7 linked regions of the Xenopus tropicalis genome follow. The protein of the gene in region 7 interacts with the protein of the main gene of each other region in a pairwise test. Links are inferred from orthologs where the notes say so. Each region holds a gene or a part of one and is shown on either strand. Other genes may lie near its edges.

What was found.
Region 1: the proteins of rbm17 (region 7) and ppp1r12c interact in binary tests that used the Homo sapiens proteins (3 or more experiments, as listed by UniProt). The two-hybrid records come from large-scale screens. The link is inferred for Xenopus tropicalis from reciprocal best matches to the Homo sapiens genes RBM17 and PPP1R12C.
Region 2: the proteins of rbm17 (region 7) and u2surp interact in binary tests that used the Homo sapiens proteins (3 or more experiments, as listed by UniProt). The link is inferred for Xenopus tropicalis from reciprocal best matches to the Homo sapiens genes RBM17 and U2SURP.
Region 3: the proteins of rbm17 (region 7) and cchcr1 interact in binary tests that used the Homo sapiens proteins (3 or more experiments, as listed by UniProt). The link is inferred for Xenopus tropicalis from reciprocal best matches to the Homo sapiens genes RBM17 and CCHCR1.
Region 4: the proteins of rbm17 (region 7) and sat1 interact in binary tests that used the Homo sapiens proteins (3 or more experiments, as listed by UniProt). The two-hybrid records come from large-scale screens. The link is inferred for Xenopus tropicalis from reciprocal best matches to the Homo sapiens genes RBM17 and SAT1.
Region 5: the proteins of rbm17 (region 7) and sf1 interact in binary tests that used the Homo sapiens proteins (3 or more experiments, as listed by UniProt). The link is inferred for Xenopus tropicalis from reciprocal best matches to the Homo sapiens genes RBM17 and SF1.
Region 6: the proteins of rbm17 (region 7) and qrich1 interact in binary tests that used the Homo sapiens proteins (3 or more experiments, as listed by UniProt). The two-hybrid records come from large-scale screens. The link is inferred for Xenopus tropicalis from reciprocal best matches to the Homo sapiens genes RBM17 and QRICH1.

Annotation. Positions count from the first base shown.
Region 1 is NC_030683.2:104,656,031-104,659,530, forward strand, and holds part of ppp1r12c (protein phosphatase 1 regulatory subunit 12C), read left to right. Parts: intron 1-581; coding exon 582-700; intron 701-1,103; coding exon 1,104-1,263; intron 1,264-1,351; coding exon 1,352-1,496; intron 1,497-3,500. UniProt on the Homo sapiens protein: Regulates myosin phosphatase activity.
Region 2 is NC_030681.2:119,916,822-119,920,321, reverse strand, and holds part of u2surp (U2 snRNP-associated SURP motif-containing protein), read right to left. Parts: intron 3,333-3,500; coding exon 3,176-3,332; intron 2,166-3,175; coding exon 2,070-2,165; intron 1-2,069.
Region 3 is NC_030684.2:75,151,315-75,154,814, forward strand, and holds part of cchcr1 (coiled-coil alpha-helical rod protein 1), read left to right. Parts: intron 1-354; coding exon 355-553; intron 554-3,500. UniProt on the Homo sapiens protein: May be a regulator of keratinocyte proliferation or differentiation.
Region 4 is NC_030678.2:43,102,164-43,104,343, reverse strand, and holds the end of sat1 (diamine acetyltransferase 1), read right to left. Parts: intron 1,358-2,180; coding exon 1,317-1,357; intron 997-1,316; coding exon 826-996; 3' UTR 501-825; downstream 1-500. UniProt on the Homo sapiens protein: Enzyme which catalyzes the acetylation of polyamines. Substrate specificity: norspermidine = spermidine >> spermine > N(1)-acetylspermine. This highly regulated enzyme allows a fine attenuation of the intracellular concentration of polyamines.
Region 5 is NC_030680.2:40,405,225-40,408,724, forward strand, and holds part of sf1 (splicing factor 1), read left to right. Parts: intron 1-3,303; coding exon 3,304-3,456; intron 3,457-3,500. UniProt on the Homo sapiens protein: Necessary for the ATP-dependent first step of spliceosome assembly. Binds to the intron branch point sequence (BPS) 5'-UACUAAC-3' of the pre-mRNA. May act as transcription repressor.
Region 6 is NC_030680.2:136,800,374-136,803,873, reverse strand, and holds part of qrich1 (glutamine-rich protein 1), read left to right. Parts: coding exon 1-21; intron 22-983; coding exon 984-1,097; intron 1,098-3,500. UniProt on the Homo sapiens protein: Transcriptional regulator that acts as a mediator of the integrated stress response (ISR) through transcriptional control of protein homeostasis under conditions of ER stress.
Region 7 is NC_030679.2:84,305,437-84,308,936, reverse strand, and holds part of rbm17 (splicing factor 45), read left to right. Parts: intron 1-1,698; coding exon 1,699-1,837; intron 1,838-2,864; coding exon 2,865-3,016; intron 3,017-3,356; coding exon 3,357-3,433; intron 3,434-3,500. UniProt on the Homo sapiens protein: Splice factor that binds to the single-stranded 3'AG at the exon/intron border and promotes its utilization in the second catalytic step. Involved in the regulation of alternative splicing and the utilization of cryptic splice sites.

The sequences.
Region 1 (3,500 bases), on a different chromosome or scaffold from region 7:
AGTTTTTAAAAAGTGCAACATACCCAATCAATAGGGCTTGTGCTGAACATACTTTTTTGTTATAAATATGTATGTTTTTTGTTATACCTTACACCAAAAAGAGCAAAATATGAAAGTGAAAGTCACCTTCTGCTTCCTTTGTGACCACAGTCAAAACAAATCAGCAGTCTATTGTAGAATGAGCTACTCAATAGGCTGTAGCAGAGAAAGGTAGGGGTTTAAATGTCAAATGTGACTTTAACTTTTAGATTTATAGTGTGAGTCATAACTAAACAGACTTTTTCTAATTAAAAAGAAAAAGAAAAACAGGCAAAAAGTAATTAATGCTGAAAAAGGAGGTAAACTTTTTTTTTTTTTCTTCACAAGTTAGTTGCCTGCATTACACATGTACGACAGAGTATTGGTTCTGTATTGTGTTCCCCCTTAATCACTAGTCCTGCTGGTTTGAACTCAAACATCATTGGACCAAGAACACAAAATCACCCATGTTAACAAAAGTGCATGTACTGGTATTTTAGCAGTTGTTCATTTTAAAACATAAATAACCATCTCGTAACTATAACCTGTATAACACTCCACAGGTATCTCCTAAAACATTCTGCAAATATTGCTGCTGTAAATAGTGATGGGGATGTTCCGCTTGATATTGCTGAAGATGACTGTATGGAGAATTTGTTGCGCGCTGAAATTGCAAAAGGAGGTAATGTGTTTGTCACTAGTGTCCTGGTAATCCAGCAGCTGTCCTTGTATAGCCGGTCTGACAGGCCAGCCTATCCTTTACTCCCCTTGCAGATGAGCCCTGTGAGCAATTTCATATTTAGTTATATGTAGAGTATATATGTCCCCCATTAGTACACAAGGTTAACCCAAATGGGCTTAAAGCAGTGTATATCCAAGTGCTTATTCAAAACCTACCTGCAGCCATCTGTCACTATTCTTACACCTCAGCAGCTTACCATAGGATTTCTTCTTAGCAGTTAGGTAGTACTTTTAGGGTTAGGTCGCCTTCCATGCGTGCATATTTGCAGTCAGAAGAATTAAAATATATATTACTTTTGTGCCACTCAGTAACCACTACTTATTGATTTTATGCTTGTCGTAAGGTGTTGATATTGAGGCTGCAAAGAGGGAAGAAGAAGAAGTAATGCTTCGGGATTCCCGGCAGTGGTTAAATGCAGGAAAAATTGAAGACATCAGGCATTCAAAGACTGGAGCAAGCGCCTTGCATGTTGCAGCAGCTAAAGGCTATATAGAGGTCATGAGGTAAACTTGGTGGCATCATGATAACTTTTCTGTCTCACAGAGTCTTTTGAACATGTCTTGAAGGTATATTTTGCTTTTCTATGACCAGGCTTCTGCTTCAGGCTAATTTTGACCCAAATGCACGAGATAAAGATGGCTGGACACCTCTTCACGCTGCAGCTCATTGGGGAGTGGAAGAAGCTTGTCGGCTACTTGTGGAACACTTTTGTGACATGAATGCTCTTAATTCTGTGGTATGCTTAAATAATTTTTATAGAATATACCCATTCTGCTAAAAACATTGACATTGGCAACAATTATTAATTGCATTTGAGCAGGGGGCTCGCATAAGGGGAAATGTAATATTAGGTCTTGGCTAATGGTATGTTTAGCAGGTTGTGCCAGTTTATATTTGTGTAAAGTGCTATACTAAACACACTGAATGCTATACTAAACACACTGAATTCATGTCCAATAATTCATTCCGCAGCATGGGTACTAAAGATGATACACACAGGTCTCAGATGAGAGCATCTTTGGATAATGCTTTGGTCATCCTTGTAATCCCATTTAAATGAAGATCCATGGTAGTCTCTTGGTTCAAACCAACTACCTGTAGTAAACCAATCATCCTATTCTGGAGCCTACAGCACCCACTTTGGAAATATTTCATAAACAAGGACGCTATAAGCTGACCTACCTTAGAAGAGGGTGTCCCGACAAATTTGAGAACATTTGGGGTCCATAGATTGAAGATTTTGCCACATGTCCATCACAGGACAATGTCTACAGGTGGCGATACACGGGCAGATTTTAGCTGCCGATTCCAGTCCTTCAGGCCTATTCAGCTTATCTGCCCGTATATAGGCACTATTAACTGGCCTACCTGATTGATATCTGGCCTGAAATAGGCTAGATCTCGATTGGCCAGGTTTGATTTTCCCATTGGATCAGGGACAGCATTAGCTGGCCTAGGGCCAAACAATCAAATTAGCCCAATATTGCCCACCTCAGGTAGGCATGTCGAGAGAAGATCCACTCGTGTACCTACCTTGCCAAACAAGCGGATCTTACTGTGTATGGCCACCTTTACATGGCTGTGATTTTATATTTAACAATGCTGCCCTCTTTTTTTCTTTCCTATTTCTTTTCTTAAATGATTGACTATCTGGTTGCTTTTTATTGCCCCAGTAACCCTGAGACTGTATGATACCCTACTTGTGCATGGGCAACCAATGTACCTATAAAAATACAACAGTGTTTAAACAAATTTAGTGAAAGTGTGAGGTCAGCTTAGAAGAAACCTTATACAGTTGTTGCTGAGGTGAGTCGCCATTTAACACCTACCATCAACTAGTCAAAAACATCTGCCCCATCATTGATTAGCAAATTACATTAACCTATTAAAGATAGGGATGTTGGCAAATAAACATTCTTTAAACCGATTTTAAAGGAGAAGTAAAAATGGCTTCACCTTATGTATGAGTTATTATGAGTACCAGCTCAGATCTACCACAGCATATTAGCAGCAAAAATGCTTTAAGAGTTGCCCTCAGTTGCTCTGCATTTTCTTTTATGCTGATTCACAACACAAGCACTGGTGACAGGCAAGTAGTGGCACGAAACCAATGCACTGAGCATCAAAATGATCAATAATCAGCCTAGTAACATCAGCTTCTGCATCACTTGACCTCCCTTTATGCTAAAGTGTTGGTGTGGTGGTGTCCTATGACCTACTCGGCCTAGCTTTTTAACAGCAGCCCAGAGCACACAGGCAATGTTTTGAGTGTCCGTGACACCCCACATGCTCAAACAGGATAAGAAGATAGGTGTGTTCCTGTATAAAGCTTTGAAAGCATGGGTCATTATGGCTGCTAAACATCTGGCCTAGTATAGTAAATGTAGTACATAGAATACAGCATTTCTAGCCATATTTATTTTTAGGCTTTAGTTGTCCTTTAAATCTCAAATTGGCAAAGCATGGTACAAAGAAAAGTCAGAAAATGTTGCATTAATCTCATTTCAGCCATGTGCTATGCACAAGGGTCGATTGTGACAGGCAGAAATTGCCTTGAGTGTTCAAAATTAGTCACATATGGAATAAAAATGAGGCAATATGATAATATTGTAAATCCCTTCATCAGTAATGCTGCTTTCTGTCATATAGTCCTTACATTCTTCACTATTAGAATACTGTGCAGGAATTATTGCTGCCTTGTAGCGTGGCAATGCAGAAAATCAATAGCAATAAGAACAAA
Region 2 (3,500 bases), on a different chromosome or scaffold from region 7:
AGATTGGTATGCTGTAATATCCTGGCCATTTCAGTATCTGGTTATATGCATTTAGCTTGTACTCACTATACCTTGTCGATTATTTACAGGGTGCATCCACAGGGTGGGGGGGGGCAAGTGAGTTGCATGCAAGGCTGCATGTAATCATTTGCATAAGGCTGCACGTAAAAAAAAATGCTTTCTGTATGTAAACAGTACACGCAGTGATAAATTGTTGCATCTAATTCCAAGTGCCTTGGCGCACACAAGGGATCGCACAGTAGCTGTTAGCAGTAGCGGCTGCATTTCCCTCCCTAGGCTTATACTCGAGTCAATAAGTTTTTCCAGTTTTCTTAGGTAAAATTAGGTACCTCGGCTTATACTCGGATCGGCTTATACTCGAGTATATACGGTAATTGTTTTTTATGATGAGGTTAGTAAGATGCTAGACAGTGGGGGTGCAGTAGATGTGATCTTTTTGGATTTTGCCAAAGCATTTGATACCGTTCCCCACAATGACTGCTTTCTAAAGTAAGGTCTACTGGTCTTAGTGAAGTCGTTCGTACATGGATAGGAAACTGGCTACAGCAGGGATCCCCAACCTTTTATAGTCGTGAGCAACATTTCAATAAAAAAAAATCTGAGGAGCAACACAAGCACAAAAACTTTCTTAGTAGGTTACCAATAAGGACACAGATTGGTTAATTAGTAGCCCAATGGGGACTGCCAGACTACAAAAGACTCTGTTTAGCAGTACATATGGCATTTATGCCTCCAAGTCAGAAATTCAAAATAAGCACCTGCTTTGAGGCCACTGTGAGCAACATCCAAGGGGTTGGTGAGTAACATGTGGCTCACGAGCCACTGGTTGGTGATCACTGGGCTACAGGATTGGGTACAGAGAGTGGTTGTTAATGGTACATTCTCTGCTTGGAGTAAGGTTATCAGTGGATTCACGGGAGGAGGGTGTTATTCTTCCCCTTTACAGAGTGCTGGTAAGGCCCCACCTAGACTATACTGTCCAGTTTTGGACTCCAGTGCTCAAATTGGACATTATTGAGTTAGAGAGGGTACAAAGAAGTGCAACTAAGCTGATAAAGGGTATGGAAAGTTATGAAGAAAGACTGGCCACGGTGGTGGTGTTTACACTGGAGAAGAGGCATTTAGGAGGTGATATAACTATGTATAAATATATATGGGTATCATATAATAACCACTCTAATGCTTTATTTACTAGTAGGTCTTTCCAACTGACACAAGGGCATCCACTCCGTTTAGAAGAAAGGAGGTTCCATTTAAATATTTGGAAAGGTTTTTTTACTGTGAGAGCTGTGGAATTCCCTCCCTAAACCAGTTGTACTGGCTGATACATTAAATAGCTTCAAGAAGGGGTTGGATGGCTTTTTAGCAAGTAAAGGAAAACAGGGGTATGGGAGATAGCTCTTAGTACAAGTTGATCCAGGGACTGGTCCGATTGCCATCTTGGAGTCAGGAAGGAATTTTTCCCACTCTGCGGCAAATTAGAGAGGCTTCAGATGAGGTTTTTTGGTCTTCCTCTGGATTAACTAGCTCTTAGGCAGGTTATATACTTGGTGGATGTATGCCTTTTTTCAACCTAACTTACTATGTATTTACATCATAATTTACATTTTATATATATTTCATATATAAAGTTACTGCATTTCCTTAAAAAAACAAAACACCTCTGCTGTTGGAGCAAGAGGCTGTTGACAGAAAATATGAAGTGCAAACACTTGCTTTTCTGTGTAAAATTAGGGAGTACTTAAATAAGCCTAACTATTCACTACAGCAGTGCAACAGTATAAAGGTCTACAGTGGTCTACTGGCATTTATATGAGCCACAGTTTATCAGAAAGAGTGATTTTAAATTAACTTCAGGTAACATGATCACAGTCGATTATACAATTAAAAAAATCTCAAGATTCTTTATTAAAAAAAAAATGACTGAATAAGAGACTTACAAAGCTGAAAGTCAATGAACTATCTTGTCACCTTTTCTAGTGTTACTTTGCAATCAAACTAGCCAAAGAATATGTCTGCATGTAAAATATACACAATGTTCTGCAAACCTTGTGATTCAAGTTCTGATTCATCCACAGCTTCCCATTTCGAAGGTGCAACTTTAAAAATGGGTTCATTCTTCTTAGCATCATCATTAATGTCCACTAAGAGAAGAATAAAAAAAAATTTAATGCAACAGTATCTTGTAAAAAGTATATGTTTGCTATCATAATACACTGTTATCTTGGCACCTGAAAATAAACTCTTAAAAAATGCTAATACATTTTCACATTCCTACAAATGTATTTCCCACAAAGAAAAAACCACAGGCTTCTCAAGTTTACACTAACTAGGGAATTTTACTTATATAATAATATATGTTTGCTCCTCCTGCCCATTCACCCCCACTCTCTCTTTTGTCACAGACTGCAGAATTTGACAATCATTTATATATTCCTTGTCTGCCTCTATACTCTTACTTTCTTTACTGCCTTTTTTATCACTTTAATACAAAGCACTCTTGGAACTCCACTAGCCAGGTATCATATGCCCCCTATATACAAGCAAGCCCAGCTTATTACAGATGGGATGCAAGGCTAAGAGCCTTTAACGTGTATAGTATAGTCATTCACCAAAAACCTCAGATGTCACCAAAAAAGGTGCTGTGATACTAGATGTGAATAAAGCAAGCCAGTTAATATAAAAAGGATACCTTAAAGTAGGTTAAATAAACTAAAGATAACACCAAATGTTACATGGTAAAACTAGATAGACAGACACTATTATGTTCTGTAGTTTGTATTTTCATGCTCTTTACAGGAAACTATACTTATATAAATCATCCAAGAACCTCTATTATCAGATGCAAAATGAGGGTAAAGTCTCAAATGTGGTCTGTCATTTGAATAACAAATAATGCATAATCTTGCCACATTTAGGCTTGGAAGGTGTCACAAAAACAGATGTCGTTAACTTTGATGATCATATATTTTAAAAAATATATCCTAAACCTAAAGCAAAATAACTGCTTAATATCAGGCTGTGCGACATCACAAATGAAGCAATGTGAAAGATGGGACTATGGGCTCCCAGTGGAGTAAGGCACACAAGGGAGGTGGTCTGCGCTTATTACAAAATTTAAACCATATAGCAACATTTTAAGATAGAAACTTACATGGTACTCCATCCAAATCATCTTCTAAAGATTTTATGGGAACACCATCTAAGTCATCAATAGGAGCACCATCAATTGGGATTCCATCAACATCCTCAATAAGAGGTACATCCAACTCTTCCTCAATCGGAGCACCATCCAAATCATCTGGTACTTCCTATAGTCAAAAACAAAGTTACTGCTGTAAAATCTATTTTACAAAAACAACATTTTTAAAGCTGACAGTATTGCTTATTTATAAAATATGAAGCAGTGTATAAGATTTTGGTAGCATTTTGTACATTACCAATACAACTTTGTAAATCTAATTAAAAAAAAAATTTAA
Region 3 (3,500 bases), on a different chromosome or scaffold from region 7:
AGGATTTTTTCAACTTCCCAGCTTTTACACATTAACAGGCTCTGGCAGGAATTATGAATTCGTTTTATTGTTATGCAAGGTAGTTTTTACCAGGGTGGATAAGCTGTGCCCATTCAGCTTAGCTTTTCACTGAGCTGTGTGATGCCATACCAGTCATAATTTTTAACTCTTTTTTCCAAAAGACCGTCATGATTTGTGTTCAAAAAGGGGTGAGTTTCAGGAGATCTTTAAAATGTAACAGGGTGTTATGTAGGAGAGCTTTGGGAGTGGTTAAACATGTCATGACTTTCACAATAAAGACTGTGACAATGACATCTTCATTGTTTTGTATGATGTTATCTTTCTCTTCTTTAGGTCTAGGTGGGCTGATTCCCCCTTCCCATTTTGAAAACCGTCGTCGTGTGTCTGTTCCTCCACCTTCTGTGTCGGTTACATCTCATCCTCCAATCTGTGAACCATGGACAGACCTTGCAAGGGAGTTGGTAAGCCTAAGGCAAGCAAATGAGGAACTGAGAAAGAAACAAGAGATGGAGAAAGAAGTTATCCAATCAAGGTATATCTAAAACTAGTGGTTGCTCATCTTCCAAACACTTTTTTCAGTTTAATTGTTTTAAGAGAGATTATTTTTTCTAATATTGAAGTTTAAAGTTGCTGTTCCTCTCTCTGGTGCTTCAGTCCAGCAGCTCATTAATCCAGATGCAGACTATTACAATTTGATACTTTTTCGGTGTCTTCTATCTAATGTTAGCAAACATTGTATCAGTTATAACAGTTGCTTTTAATGAAAGCTGGGATTATGCTCAACAGGGCCAAAGAAATGCATCAACTAATGGGATTAGAACAGTTAAGAGTTGGAGACCCCCTCACAGAGCTCACCAGGGAGTAGGTGAAAATGAAACTTTAAAGGGGATGTTCACCTTCAGAACATCGTCTGAATTTGAACAGGCCCTGTGAGAAAAAAACATTTTTGCAAAGCATCTTTATCTTTAATAGTCAGTACTTTAAGCTCTTACTATCACTATCTACTGCTATGCTCTCAGTAGGGGATTTTCCAGATCATATATATTCAATTCCTGACTTTTCAAGAAAAGCAACAGATTAATAATATACTCCTAAAAAGTATAATGTGTCTGCACCAGCATCTTTAACAACTCTGATTGTGGATACTTACAGTTGTTGTCCCCAGCAATATGTCTGATGGCTGCACATTCAATATGTCCAATGTCAGCAATTCTAAACAATACGGTGTGATTTAGCTGTCGCACAAATTTCTCACATGCTGCAACTTTTGTGCAATATGTTGAGTGACATGATAATTTGCATTTATCATTACATGTAAAGTCCTTCACATTCTTTTTGACGTTATTTTGTAAGATCATTATACCATACTAGACCATTTAGTTTGGAATTTTGGCCAGAAAAGATTGATACAGTAGACAATTGCATGACTAATGTAGTTCTTCTTCACAAACTTGGGCATAAACAAGCTAAAAAAAATCTTGCTGCGCCTTGAGGGTGGGCAAAATTGCATTAACAAAATAAGGTAGAAAAGTAAAGGAATCTTATGTTTTAATATCTAGCCTTAGGTCTTAAACAGGTGTAAGGGCATGTATTACACAGACATTTCTTTCTGGAATGGAGTAAACATTTGGATTATATTCAGGACAGGTTGTAGATTCTTTAAATGGATACTGTCTTGATTTTTATGGTATACGTTTATTTCTAAATTACACTGTTTACATAGCAGATAATTCATTTTACCATTTACAATTATATTCTCGAACAAAGAAACGTATTTTTTTTAAGTTGTAATATAGGTCTTCATAATTAAGATGACCAATTAAACTTGTGCTGTCTACACCATACTAAAATGTGTGAACTACATATTTACTTCGGAACAGCCAAATTAAGTTAAGCCAGCCACTTGAGAACTCTGTAAGGTGTCAGTGGCCACCCTGTAATTTCTCTGGGCCTGTACAATTTTTTTCCAAAAAGGGGCATCAGGGTTTAAATTTGCCTTTTCTTGCCCTTAAAAGGGGAACTACTATACAGTGGATGAAAAAAAAAGTTTACAAACTTTACAAATGCAATGCATGTATTACTTTGTTGAGTTTTTTTTTTTTAATCATAATGTATAAAGCGATTTATGCCTTGGCATAGCTTCTTTTCTGCCTCTGTTGAAAGAGTTGCATCAGAGATGCTTTGGTTGACTGAGAAAACCTGCCCAGCATAGTTATGAACATCTACCTTCTTTATTCTTCCATGTTGCACACACCAGTAAGCTCTGGTGTATACATAAAAATGCATTGGGACACACTTTTATGTAAAATCCACCTATTAGTTTTGTTAGTTGGCCCACAGTAAAAAATATAGGTAGCACAGCAGGTAAAATTTCTAACCCTAACTTTGTCACATATTTTATCCTTATTGAAATTTTTATTGAAGAGGCTGGCTCATTCAAGGGCACTGAATGGCAAATATATATAACAGGTCATATCTTTTTGGAGATGCCAAGCCCCCTTAAATATCCTTTATTATCTTATCTTATTTATTACCTATGCTTGTATAGAGGGGGTGATACATGGGCCCTATCTGAACAGGAGTGGTTGGGGTATGCACCGAGAAGACAGGAACAGAGAAAGGTCCTGCTGAAGTTTTATCCAGCAACCCATGCTTACAGGTAAACTCATGGGTCCAGTGTGCTTCAGGCTGACCTCCAACAGTTGCCCTGGAATCAGCAACTCACATAATATGGAACAGAACCAACCAAAATAGTTTTAAAAGTGCCCTGACTTAAAGCCAGATGGCAGGTGAGTAACAGCTTAAAGAACGAAACCCAGCTTTTACAGCATGTCCCCAAAGCATTACCACTAGTCCCTTTTCTAAACCACCGCACTGAAATGCATGCACCAGGGATTTAGTTTCTTATAGCGAGGCAGTGGTGATTCCTTCCCATGAAAATTAAGAAACTCCATGCAGTCAAATCAAGATAAATATACTGGCTGCATCAAATTCCTCTAAAAGGTGCCTTTGTTCAAGCATGTAGTTCTTCCAGGAGACAGTAAAAAATACTGGCAAGATATTCCTTTTTGTCTTTATAGAATAAGATTCTCCTCTGGGCATTGAACTTCAAAGCTGACATATGTTTCCCTCTGCTCAACACTGAGCTATTTCAGGGCTTATATTTTGGCTAAGAATGGCTACATTAATACTTAAATTTAGCAAAATAAATTTGTTCTGTGTTTAGGCTAATAATATCAGTCTATTGCTTATTTGTTATAGTTCTTAAAGTTTTATAATATTTCACCTTATTCCAAAGCACTGTACAATGGTTTGGGGATACTGGAAACTCTAGGGCAAACAGATAAAATAATTGCAACTATAGGAACAAATATAATGAAACTTGGGCATGAAGCCTTTTCTCCCAGTTGGGGGCAGTGGTGAGCGTTTGTGGCAATGTTTCACAACATAAAAGGGTAATGGGATATATAGCATGCTTA
Region 4 (2,180 bases), on a different chromosome or scaffold from region 7:
CTTACACTAGAGACATCCTACACTTCTGGCTCGGGCTCGGTTACGACTGGCAGGATGATAAAAGGGCACTATGGCACTTTATCATTGACATATTGAAACCAGCATGGCAAGTGTATACAAAGTGCTTTGGGACAATTACTGCCGTTTGTGCGACAGGAGCAACTTACACTATTCTATACAATAGCAAGGCTTTGCCTCTACAGAATCAAATGCCAAGTTTTGCATGTGATAGTGACAGGCACAAATAAGGTAGCATGCTGGGAGACAATGGTGAACTGTGGGTAAGAAACACACAGACACATTAAATTTTATACTTCTAGATTTAAAGTTTGTATAAAATATATTCTAAGCGATACATCCCCCATGTGAGCCTGGACTACAACTCAACATAAAAAGGTTACACAGAATGCCCTGAGCCATGACCCAAACTTTCTAGAGCTGTTCCTCTCTTTTCTACTTGGTAACTTTGCAAAAGTAGAAAGACAGACAGATACAACAAGTAGAACAAAAACTGCTCTTTAATTTATAAAAACAGGTTAATTGAATAGTACAAATTGAAACCTACATACCAGTGTGTACATTGTACACAAATGACTTACAACAATGAAGTTACATATAATACAGACAACCGAGAAACTAATGTTTGAAGAACTTGAAGATGCTGCCACAAAAAGTTTCGCTATGAGGATATGGAGACAACCACATTACAATGCCACTGGTAATAAAGCTTTTGCATGAGCTATTCTACAATTACACTATAATAATGACATGCAAACAATCAATGTTATTCTTTTATTGAGATATTTGCTGCCTCTGGGAGAGTTTTCACTCTTCAGCGGCAAGTTTACACAAGTATTCTTTATCGATTTTGAAGAGGCGCCATCCTTCTTCTGTAGAAAGGTCAGCTGCTCCACGTCTCTTGTAGAACTTTATGGACGGCTCATTCCATTCTGCAACCAGGAAGTGCATGCTGCTACAACGGCACTTCATCGCAATCTGAAAAAAGAGGTTAGAATGCATTGAGAGCCCCTAGTAACAGGCAGTTTTATAAATGAGCTGAAAAACCATTACATTCTTTGTTTAATGGGAAAAAGAGCTCTTATTACTCATAATAGTTCACTTTTAAAAGGCAGTCATAGAAACTCTAAAATCAATTTCAGTTCTGACCAGCATAGGTAGGCACCTTTGACCAAAACAAATATTACAAGTTTGCAGTACAGTAGTAAAGCACAACTGTTATTTGCCCTGAACACCATGACTCCAACAGGTTTAAGGATCTGAATAAAGTCAGCTGAAATGTCTTTATAAACACTTACTTGACTCAAGTGCTTGAATATCTCTGATCCCATGCCAAAACCTAAAAAAAACCAAACACATATTAGAAACTTCATGCTTAGCAGTTTAAGTCTGTTTTTGACAATAAGTGCTATGAATCCAGTGTCGGACTGACCCACCAGGATACCAGGAAAACTCCCGGTGGGCCCAGGGGTCAGTGGGCCCTCCTGCTCCTGATCATTTGCCTGTTTCATGGTCATTCCCTATTTCTGAATGGAAAGAAAGAGGAGAAATAGATGGAAGAATAGATGCTAGCATTAAGGAGAATAAAGTGGTTGAGTAAATAAAGGAGGAAAAATTGTTCCGAGAGTGGGCCCATGGTCTAAGGGTTTCTGGTGGCCCCTGGGGTCCCAGTCCGACACTGTGAATCTAAAGTTTCTAAACCAGTTATCCAGAAAGCTTTCAGTTGCAAGGAAGGCCATGCTCCCCAGAGTCCTTTTTAAGCAATTCAAATTACTTGTTGGCAATTATGACACATGAATAAAATATATATATATATATATATGTGGCCAAACAATCTTTTTACATTTAAATATAAGTAGAAGATGCCTTCCATGATCCATTAGAAGGGATACAGAATCTGGACTCAAACCTTACATGAGTACAAAGAGGTTTATTCTGTACATGCTTTCTAAAAGGTTTGTTTCCAAATGGGCACAAACTTTAATGTGAAATTCTAGTTAAAAAAAAAAAAACCACAACCAACCACACACAAGGCCCTATGCATTCCAAATAATAGATTCCATCATTGTACTTTACAGAACAGCTGAATTCGCCAGGGGTTTCAGTATTAGGCACATCTCCCACAAATCAATTAAATCTAAGTTTCTTAAGCAGTGCCAACA
Region 5 (3,500 bases), on a different chromosome or scaffold from region 7:
TTAACTGTAATGTGGCTGTCTTGGGCTATCCCTAATGAACTGCAGATGTCACAAAGCAAAAGCATTGCAAAGCTGGGTTAGATATTTTGCTACCCCCATGTGGCCGCCTGCTATGGAAACGGGGAATAGGATGACTTGCACTTTGCAGGCTCCAAAAGTTTTATTACCCAGCATTAATCAGAGATTGGTAAAATAATAGGTATTTAATATATAACATTTTCCTCTTGTTCCCGTCAGAATTTTACAAACTTTCTCCCTGCTTGTGATTTGCCTTGGGGTTAAGGATTCTGCTGGATGATAGTGCTCACTGCTGCTGCTAAGCAATACCACCCCACTGGTTTTTTAACTGTTTACTGCAGTGGAACATAATCTATTTTATGTGATAAATGCCACTTCAATAAAAACTGTCCTGTAAGGGAAATGTTCCTAGCAGGAAGGTTTTTGATAAATGGGGAAAACATTTGAACTGCTGGCAATCCTTGCATTTCAGTGTTTGAAAATCAGCCTCTATTTTGGCTTCTGCAATATTGCCTGGGCATTTGCTGTGCTGTTCTATTCTTTTGTCATATTTGCCCTTTGGTGGTCTGGGTGGCCTTTTTTTGCCTTAGGTCTATTCCTTTTCAGAAAAACTTCTGATCATCTTTCACTGCTACTTTTGGTTTCAGTGAGTTCCAGAGCCACATGCAAAAGTGAGTTTTCTGCAGCCTGGCACTCACTGGGGGAGGGAGCAGCTGCTAAGGGATTTTTTTATTAGCTATAGCATCTGCCCTACTTCTGAAGTACATGGTACAAATTATGTACCATTCTAGCAGTTCTGTCATAGGACTTGATTTCTGGGGGGCATTCCCAAGTAAGACTATATTTGACTAAACCTGTGACGTGACTTATTTAACAAAGATGGAATTAACATTGAAAAATAAATCTGTAGACCCAAGGAACAGCCCTGCAACAAAAACAGTGCCCTACAGTCTTTTAATATTTGAGAAAGGAAAGCAAAAAATAAATACTGGTTACTGTTCTTAAAGGGGTCGTTCACCTTAAAGTTACCTTTTAGTATTAGAGACATATTCTGAGATGATTTGTGATTGTTTTTCATTTTTTATTTGCAGTTTTTGGCTTATCATTGCTAGGTCCAATTTAGCTTAGAAACCAGGCAGTGGTTTAAAACAGATGGATCATAAATAGAGGAAGGCCTGAATAAAAAGATAGGTAATAAAAAGTAACTGACAATAAAATTGTAACCTCACTGAGCAAGTTTTTGGCTGCTGATGTCAATGTCCCCCATTTTAAAACTTAAGTGTGTTAGAAGAGGCAAATAAATCAAAAACTATAAAAAATGATCAACAATTGAAAAGTTGCTAAGAACAGGCCATTCTATAACATAGTGAAAGTTAACCTAAAGGTGAACCACCCCTTTAAAAAAAGACTGAAAGCTGTCACAGCTTGCCTATCACTCTTCTCATCCATCACCTTGTCATCCAGAATAGGTTGGTTTGATCTATTATAGCCTGTAGGTAAACCCCATTCCCACTGGAGTAATAACTCTGTTCCCTTTTATGTGTGTGTTCTGTATAAGTTGATTTTTTCATAACTACTTTTCCCCTTTTCACATATACTGCCACAGTTAAGCATATTGAATATTTTTGCAACATCCTGTTTACTGCAGTGAGAAAAGGAAACTTTAAAATCAGTTTTTTTCCCTACATGTGAACATTTGCCACTATACATTTTTTTCCCAATTTTTTTGTTGTTGCTATTCCTGTGCCATGGAGTAACCCTAGATGGTAGCAGAAAAATTTTGTATTGCTTTCCAATCAAGGGCATATAGATAGGGAAGGTGTCTGAAGGTCAGTTTTATGTTTGTGTATACAATTTTGTATACCTTATGTATGTTCATATTTTAATTAGGCTTTTAATTTTAACTTTAGTGTTACAATGTGTGCTTTCCTTAACACACCTCTTTAATATTTATATATACCTGTACATGCTTGGCACACAAAGCATTTAATTCTACCATTTTGATTTTACAAATCTGTGACAGTCTGAATTAATGTCCATGTGTTACAGATATATGCTTGTCATATAGCAGGCATTTGTATGGTCTGTGTGCTTTTGGCATAAGGAAGAGAAACATTGGATGAAACACTTTGTTGCAGAGATGTTAAATTTGTACTCTTTAAAAACTTGCAAACTGTGGCCCTGTAGTTACACTAGAAAACTTCCAGTATGCCATATTTAGTTACTTGTAGTTCCAGTTGATATCAGACTGGATCGTTTTAACTAATACCAACTTCACCTTTTAATATTTGTATTTCTCCCGCATATGTTTTTAACAGCCTTTTCAATTGACTTACACTCAGTGGGATGTGATATCACAAATTTGTTACTTTTAAACTGGGATGTTGGAGGTTTACATGATTTTATACATATCCCTAACCTCTCCCTTTTTTCTCTCCTCATAATGTTTCATTAACTTTTTAAATTTTTTTTTTTAAGTAAAAGCAGGTTTTAGAGAGGTTAATGTTTCTTTTGAAGAATTTTAATAACCTTTGCACCTCTTTAAACAGGTCTTTTATTGCCATGTCTCCCCATTTAAAAACGTCTATCAACTGAAGCGTACTCAATAACCCTAATGTTGGCTTTTTTTCTCAAAGCAGCCCTCAGTTAAATTTGTCTTTTTCGGCCGCGTATTTAACCACACTTTGCAGCTTTAACCTGCATAATTTCTCTTTAGCGCAAAATTTAGGTTCTTAGTTATTTTGCCCTTTCCTGCCCATTTTAAACCATTGTTTATGTACCTTTCTGGGGTGAGAGAAATTAATTTTAAGTTAGTGGGGTTTTAAGAATACTTCAGGTATTTGGGTTTAAGATTTGATCAAAATGGAAACTTTTAGTAGAGTATTGAAATCTTAGAAAAGGATTTATTTTTCCTCAGGATAACATTCTAGAAACACCTTATTTTCTTTTAATTATATTGGTCCTTTTTGCTTAAAAAAGTCTTAAAACATTCCTATCTAAGAGAATCTTTGCTTTTGAATGTGAGGTGATTACAGTTACTACTTTTGAGTTAACTCTACACAAGTATATCTTATTAAAGTTATACACGAGCAGCCTTAAAGATTAATGGATAGATAGGATTTTTTTTTCTGTTGAGGTGATTTGAGGTTTTTTAACAAAGCAGTCTTTAAACTAAAGTTTGTTCCACATGCAAGTTTAAAGTAATTCTGCCCTCACAATGTATTCTTGTTTCCTTACGAGCCTTGTTAATCCTGTTCTGATGCCAGGCTGTCTACCTTTATGCAGGTCTCCATCACCAGAACCAATTTATAACAGTGAAGGGAAACGGCTGAACACACGAGAGTTCAGAACGCGCAAAAAGCTGGAAGAGGAACGTCATAACCTCATCACTGAAATGGTGGGATTAAACCCTGATTTTAAGCCACCTGCAGATTACAAGTAAGGTTTTGTTTGGGAACTTTCTTTAGCACAATTGATGTTTC
Region 6 (3,500 bases), on a different chromosome or scaffold from region 7:
GTTCAAGCACAACAGGTGCAGGTGATTGAAAACTATTTACATTTTCTTTTTTGGCCTAAGTAACCCTAGAAAGCGAATTAAGCCACCTACATCAGAAATGTACAGCCTGTGTATCTTTAGAAGTTTGGGAGCTGCAAAATCCAAGACCCAGAGTCGAAGCAAAAAAAACTGGGCAGTTGCAGATTGGGCTTGGCTGACAGGTGAAACTAGTACAGTAACCAAGCAAAATCTGTCCATAGTCCATCTACGGTATTCTAAAATTATCAAAGCTGTTACTGTACTTTTGCAAATTAGCCCTTTGTTTCTAAAAGTCGTAGGAAAAAAACAAACAGTGGCTCAACTGCAATTCTGAAAATGTTGATTTTTATTCTCTGTTGATGGGTTCATCCTTTTCATAATTAGGCGCTGGTTTCCTTTTAATTCAGACCATACCTAGTAAACACGCGCAGATGTTGAATCCCCCCCCCCCCACAAAAAAACTCTTGTTCCCTTCTACTAACAATTAAACAAAACCTATCTAGGATTATATGATGTTTATCAGATCAGCTGCACCCAATGGGATTTAATGGTTTATATTCAGTTGTCTTAAAAAGAAAAACAACCTAAATAGCCTGTCTTCTCTCACTGGAATTAAAGAAAGCCACAAAACAACACTTTTTAAATAATAGTAGCATTTTACATGTGCTTCATTAACATGTTTCCGTGTTTGTAGCGTTTGTATGGTTCTTTATTTTGCTGGCAGAGCACATTTAATCAAGTTTTACTTTTTTTATTAATTGAATTATATGTTTAGGAAAAAATACCTGGCTATGTGCATAACGAGCCCCATTGCGTTCCTTGACCCATGTCTATACATTATAAGGAATCCTTGCCATCACCTTTAAACTCTGTATCAGAATTGATAGATTGCCTGAAGGCTTTCAATTTTATATTTTAATTTATTGCAAAGATGTTGGTGGCTTAGTTTCCATTGTTAATTTCAGATTCATGAAGCACTCACCAGGCCTTGGAATCTTCTCCACCCTGCCCCACAGCTGAATCGAATGAACCTCTCCCCCGAGGGGTCCCAGGATTCTGGTATTTCAGAAGACATGTTGGTTAGTTTCCCATGGGCCAGACTACAGACACTAAAGATACAAAGTACCTAGAATAACTGCCAATACAAATGTAAAACAGATGCAGGAAAAAAAAAATATCTGGAGCAGTTATTTAATAGACTGTACTTGAAATTCTATAGACCATACAGTGTCAGTTTTCATTAACCATATATCTGATGCTGTAGCAGCAGGCAATAAACCAGTAACCTGCAGTCGTGTGTGCATGTGTATAGAAAGAATATGTTATGCGCTGGTATGTTTGCTTCCCTGACTTGTTCTTGTGGCACATGTTTTTGAAAGAATCTGAATGTGCAGTTATTGTTGTATATAATCACTATAAAGTAGAACCCCGGTGCTTGGGCTTTGTGCTAAAACAATGTTAAATTCTGGGAAAGAAAAAAAATGCAAATTATCTGTGTGGAACTGCAAAAAAAAACTGCATCTCTTCCAGGAAAACTTAAAATCCTTGGATGTAAAATCAGGGTTCTACTGTAATATATACATTGGTTCTCGAAAATTTGTGAACACTTATATTTTTATATGAAACATCTGATTTTCAAACAAGTTCTGAAAGTAGATGAAGAAAAACTAGTTAAACAAATGCAACAAAAATGATTATTTGTTCATGTATTTATTGAAAAAAAAAATGATCCTAAAACATATCTGCATATGGCAAAAGTCAGTGAATCCTTAGGATTATTAGGGGTGCACCGAATCCGCTATTTCGGAATCCAGCCAAACCATGAAACCTTTGTGAAAGATTCGGCCAAATACCGAGCCAAATCCAAATCCTAATTGCCATTTGCAAATACACCAGCACGCCACAGAGGGCTTTAAGAGAACTGCGCAGTGTGACAAAAGGTGATTTTAAGGATGTGGATTCGGTCTGATCTGAATCCTGCTGAAAAAGGCTGAATCTTGCCCAAATCCTGAACCGAATCCTGGATTCAGTGCATCCCCTAAGCATTATCATATTATTTGTAGGTGAAATCAAAGTCAGTGCAATTACAATCGGGTGGAAGGGAGAGACCCTGTTTTATTTAAAGAACGAGGTTCCAGCAGAGCCTGATCACACATACATTACATTTGTGGATATGTATCATGGCTCAAACAAAGGAGGTGTCTGAAAAAGGTGTCAAAAAGAGTTGTTGATGCCCATAAAGCTGGAGAAGGTTACAAGACTCTCTCTAAAGAGTTTGGATTCCAACAATCAACAGTCAGACAAAATTTGTGTACAAATGGAGGAAATTCAAGACCGTTGTTGCCCTACCCAGGAGTGGTCGAGCATCAAAGATAACTCCAACTGCAAGGCATCTAATAGTCCGAGAGGTTACAAAGGAACCCAGTAATTTCTAAGCAGCCGAAGGCCTGTCTCAAATTGATGTCCATAAGTCCCACCATCAGGAGAACACTAAACAGCAATAGTGTGTATTGCAGGGTAGCAAGGAGAAAGGCACTGCGCTCCCCCAAAAATATTGCTGACCCTGTACAGTTTGCTGAAGGTCATGTAGACAAACAGAAGGATACTGGGAGAATGTTTTGTGGACAGAAAAAGTCGAAATAGAACTTTATGGCTTAAATGAAGAGTGTTGCATTTGGAGAAATAAAAACACTGCATTTCAGCAAAAGAACCTTATCCATCTGTGAAACATGGCGGTGGTAGTGTTCTGGTTTGGGCCTATTTTGCTGCACCTGGGCCTGGACGGCCTGCCATGATTGATGGAACAATAAATTCTTAATTTTACCAGGGAATTGTAAAGGAAAATATCAACACATCTGTCTGTGAACTGAATCTTATGAGACAGTGGGCTATGCAGCAAGATAATAATCCGAAACACACCAAAGAATGGTTAAAGAAGAATAAATGAATGTTCTGAAATGGCCAAGGCAAAGTCCTGACTTTAATCCAATCAAAATGTTGTGGAATAACCCAAAGTGAGTGGTTCATGTAAGGAAACCCACCAACATCCAAGAGCTGATTCTGTTCTGGAAGGAGGAATGGGCTGAAATTCCACCGATGTGGAGGACTGATCAACTGATCAACAGTTACTGCAAATGTTTAGTTACAGTTATTGCTGTACAAGCGGGTCACACCTTATACTGAGAGCATTAATCACTTACTTTTGCCACACACACAAATCTTATTGGATCTTTTTTTTTTTTTTTTTTCAATAAATACTCAATCAAATATAATAATTGTTTCGCTAGGTTTTCTTCTAGGACTTGAAAATTAAGTGATGTTTTAAGTCTTATTCTTATAAAAATATAGAAAAGGGTTCACAAACTTTTTTGTTTTATGCTGATTTACAGCTGTGAGGATGCTGGGAGTAGTAGTTTAGAACATTTAGATGGCTGTCAGTTTGTTATCCTTGGTTTAAAGGGTAAAGATGGACTATGTAATAT
Region 7 (3,500 bases):
CCCAAATGCTTGGTCCTCACATGGGTGTTGTTTGAAGTGGGTGTGGTTTAAAAAGGGGGAGTGGTCAAACTGACTCCCGTTAGCGGCCCTCCACTATGTATGCTAGAGAAATTTGGCCCTCGGCACCACAGAAGTTTGACTGGTGTAAGGAATGAGGTTGTTCAGTAAGAGAATGGGCAGTACCTCTAAACTGTTCATGAACTTGTGGGGAGGTATAGGTCTCAGTCATAGACTGCTGTATGTTTTAGCTCAGACTGTAAGGCCCCAATATAAGCTATAGTATTTCTAGCCAAATAATTTGTTGGGCTTTAATGTTGCTTTAATTCAATTCAGTCTGGTATCTCCAACTTTACCAGATTTACCACCACTAGATGGCGGTTCATTCAAATCTGTGAAAGATGACTGCACGAATCTGTATTAAAGGATCATGTAACTAACACAACAATCTGTGCTTGAATTGTTTGACATCTGTTTAATCAGTTAAGAAAATTTAAACTTGAAACACATATATTTACCATTGTAGGAAGTGTAGGAAATCCCAATGCTGGCACCAATTTAAATCATGGCAGGTGCCAGAACATTGAATGGAAGACCTGTTCACCAGTAAACTGCCCCAGGGATGGAAATGGCTTTTAAAGGAGAACTATACCCCCGGGCGCAAAAAGCTCCCTTAACTATAATTGCTTAGATCCCCCCTCACCTCTCCAATATTGCATAGTTTTAACGTTTCTACTCTGCTCCTATCGCTAACCGCTAGCTAAAAAAACAGATAAGCGCAGCCACGTACTTCACCGACATCTTACTGGTTGAAGACACTTCGGGTCTCTCTGCCAATACGAACTTGCTTGGCCACGCGCAGTTGGAGGTAGCCTGAAATCTGCTTCAACTGTGCATGCGCAAGCAGGCTAGGTGTCAGTGGTAAGACCTGAAGAGTCTTTAGTCAGTAAGAAGATTTCTCTGTATTAAGGGAGAGGTGAGGGGGGTCTAGGTAATGATAGTTAAGGGGGATTTTTGCGCCTGGGGGTATAGTTCTCCTTTAACAATTATGAGTATCCACTCAACTGCTTGGTAAATAAATATTGAATTGAATTAGAGGTTATAGTGCACCATTTATGTTAGGACTGCAACTACTTAAGTGAGCAGTTGTGTGTTGAACTTAAAGTTGCTTTAGTTATTTCCCAACTTGTAGAAAAGTGAGATAACTGCAGTTGACTTATGTGACGACTTGCTTTTTAAAATCACCAATACATGCAACAGGGGCAGTAATCCATGGCAACTAATTGCCAGTTTTTTGCTTTCAGTGTTTTGCCTAAAGCAGGCTGAAAATTGATTGATAACTGCAGTAATGGGTTACTGCACAGGTGCAGTTTTGCCCAATGTTAATAAGTGAGACCAAAGTGTCCTGCAGGGCCTGTATAATGCATAAATTAATGAATCAAATGATGCAAACTTTTAGTTCACAAGTATCTGTGGAACAATATGGGCAAGTTGATTTGCTGCCCATGGGCCAACAGTGAAAACCAAAAGATTTGCCTTCTGCATACAGGCTATCGTATGGATCCTGTGAAGAATTACAAAATGTGTAGCAGCTAAAATGTTGTGCCCCCTATACACACAATTTCTACTGAATTGCTAAAGAGGCAGTAACAGTTTTTAACCTGTCATACAGTTTGTTCTAATTATGTGTTTTTGATCTAGCTATTGTGCCTGCTTATGATGACGAGCCAAGGCCACGACCACCAATGGCAAAGGCTGCAATTCCACCACCTATGTATGATGAGCCAGAGAGACCAAGATCACCAACTGGGCCTAGCAATTCTTTCCTTGCAAATATGGGGTATGGAATATGGTTTTCTGTGTAAAAGAGTAGCTTACAATATTGTATACATTTATAAATAGTTTTGAAACTCTGACTGATAATTATACACAGTCCTATTAATTTTATTATCCTCAGACATGATCCAGTATCCCAACTGATTTCTCTTTTTCTTTTAAATGTAGCATTGAAAGACAATGCCTTACCTCATATATGATTGGCTAAACATACAGTACTTGCTTTTGGATGTATTGAATTAAGATGTATGCTGCTGATTCAACCTCTCTTGCACAAAATCACAGCCAATTATCCTGCGTGGGGGACCAAAACGATCTTTCTGGTCCAATATTTTTCAGTGATTATCAGATAACTGGACAGAGGAAAATCTGGTTGTCCCCAACTACATCGGGCTGTATATACTCTATATTCAGCCACACCGCACAACCACTTACATAATCCGCATATTGAACTGGCGACCAGACACTTAGATTGGGCTAATTTGTAAATCAATAAATGTTTGATCTTATGGAGTATAGTGATGCTAACTCAACAGTGTCCTCCAGTGCCTAATGTATTATCAAATGTGGCAGAATGCTTGTCTGGCTTTGTATGATATTTTTTGTACTAAACATCTCTCAGACATGGGACTGCTATTGTTTTACAATAGAAACAAAACGCATCTCACCTGTCCCTGTCCGGTGTTCCATAGGCACATCTCTAGGGTAATTACTGACAGGCAGATAGTGGTGTCTTTGCACTGGTTTCCACCTGAAACTTCACTGTGACGATCGAAAACTCATTCTGTGTGATTAGCCTAGATATTTTCTTTATGAAAATCCTTAGGGATAATTAAAAATTAAGGTGCAGTGGCATATTAGGTAACTTTTCTGAAAGTATGTATAAAACTGAAATGGGCAAAATTCCATGTATATATGGTGACTGTGCTACTCCCTTGCTCATCACTTTATATGGGTTCATATTTACTTACAGCTACTGTAGGGGGCAAAAATAAGCTGAGGTTTTGTGTACTTTGTTTCTGTTTTTAAAGTGGTACTGTGGCCCACAAAATCATGCAGAAGTATGGCTTTCGGGAAGGACAGGGCCTTGGCAAGCACGAGCAGGGTCTCAGCACTGCACTTTCTGTTGAAAAGACAAGCAAGAGGGGAGGCAAAATTATTATTGGTGACTTAGCTGACAAAGGTTTGTTGTTTTGAGTAACAATTTTCAGATACTAATATATAAAGTGTGTGTATGGATATGTGGATATAACTTATGTAGTGCATATAAATAAATATTTTTGTTTTTTTCCCAAGTTTTTTTTTTTTTTTAACATGGGTGTGTGTGTGTATGTATGTATGTATGTATATGTGTATGTATATATATATATATATATATATATATATATATATATATATATATATATATATATATATACACAAAGTCAAGAGTTTCACAATAACGCCTAATAGTGCAGATTCCTTGCTTCATTGGTGATTTTTTTCATTTAAAGTGTTTTAAATAGAAATTTAATCTCTTACAGTTGAAGCAGCTAAGAAAGCAGATCCAAACCCTCTGACAGAAATACTAAAGAATCCTACTAAAGTTGTTTTGCTTCAGGTAAGAAGGGCAGCAGCCCAAGGTTTATCGGCCAAAAATATGTTCATAGGGAGACTTTTTTATAATT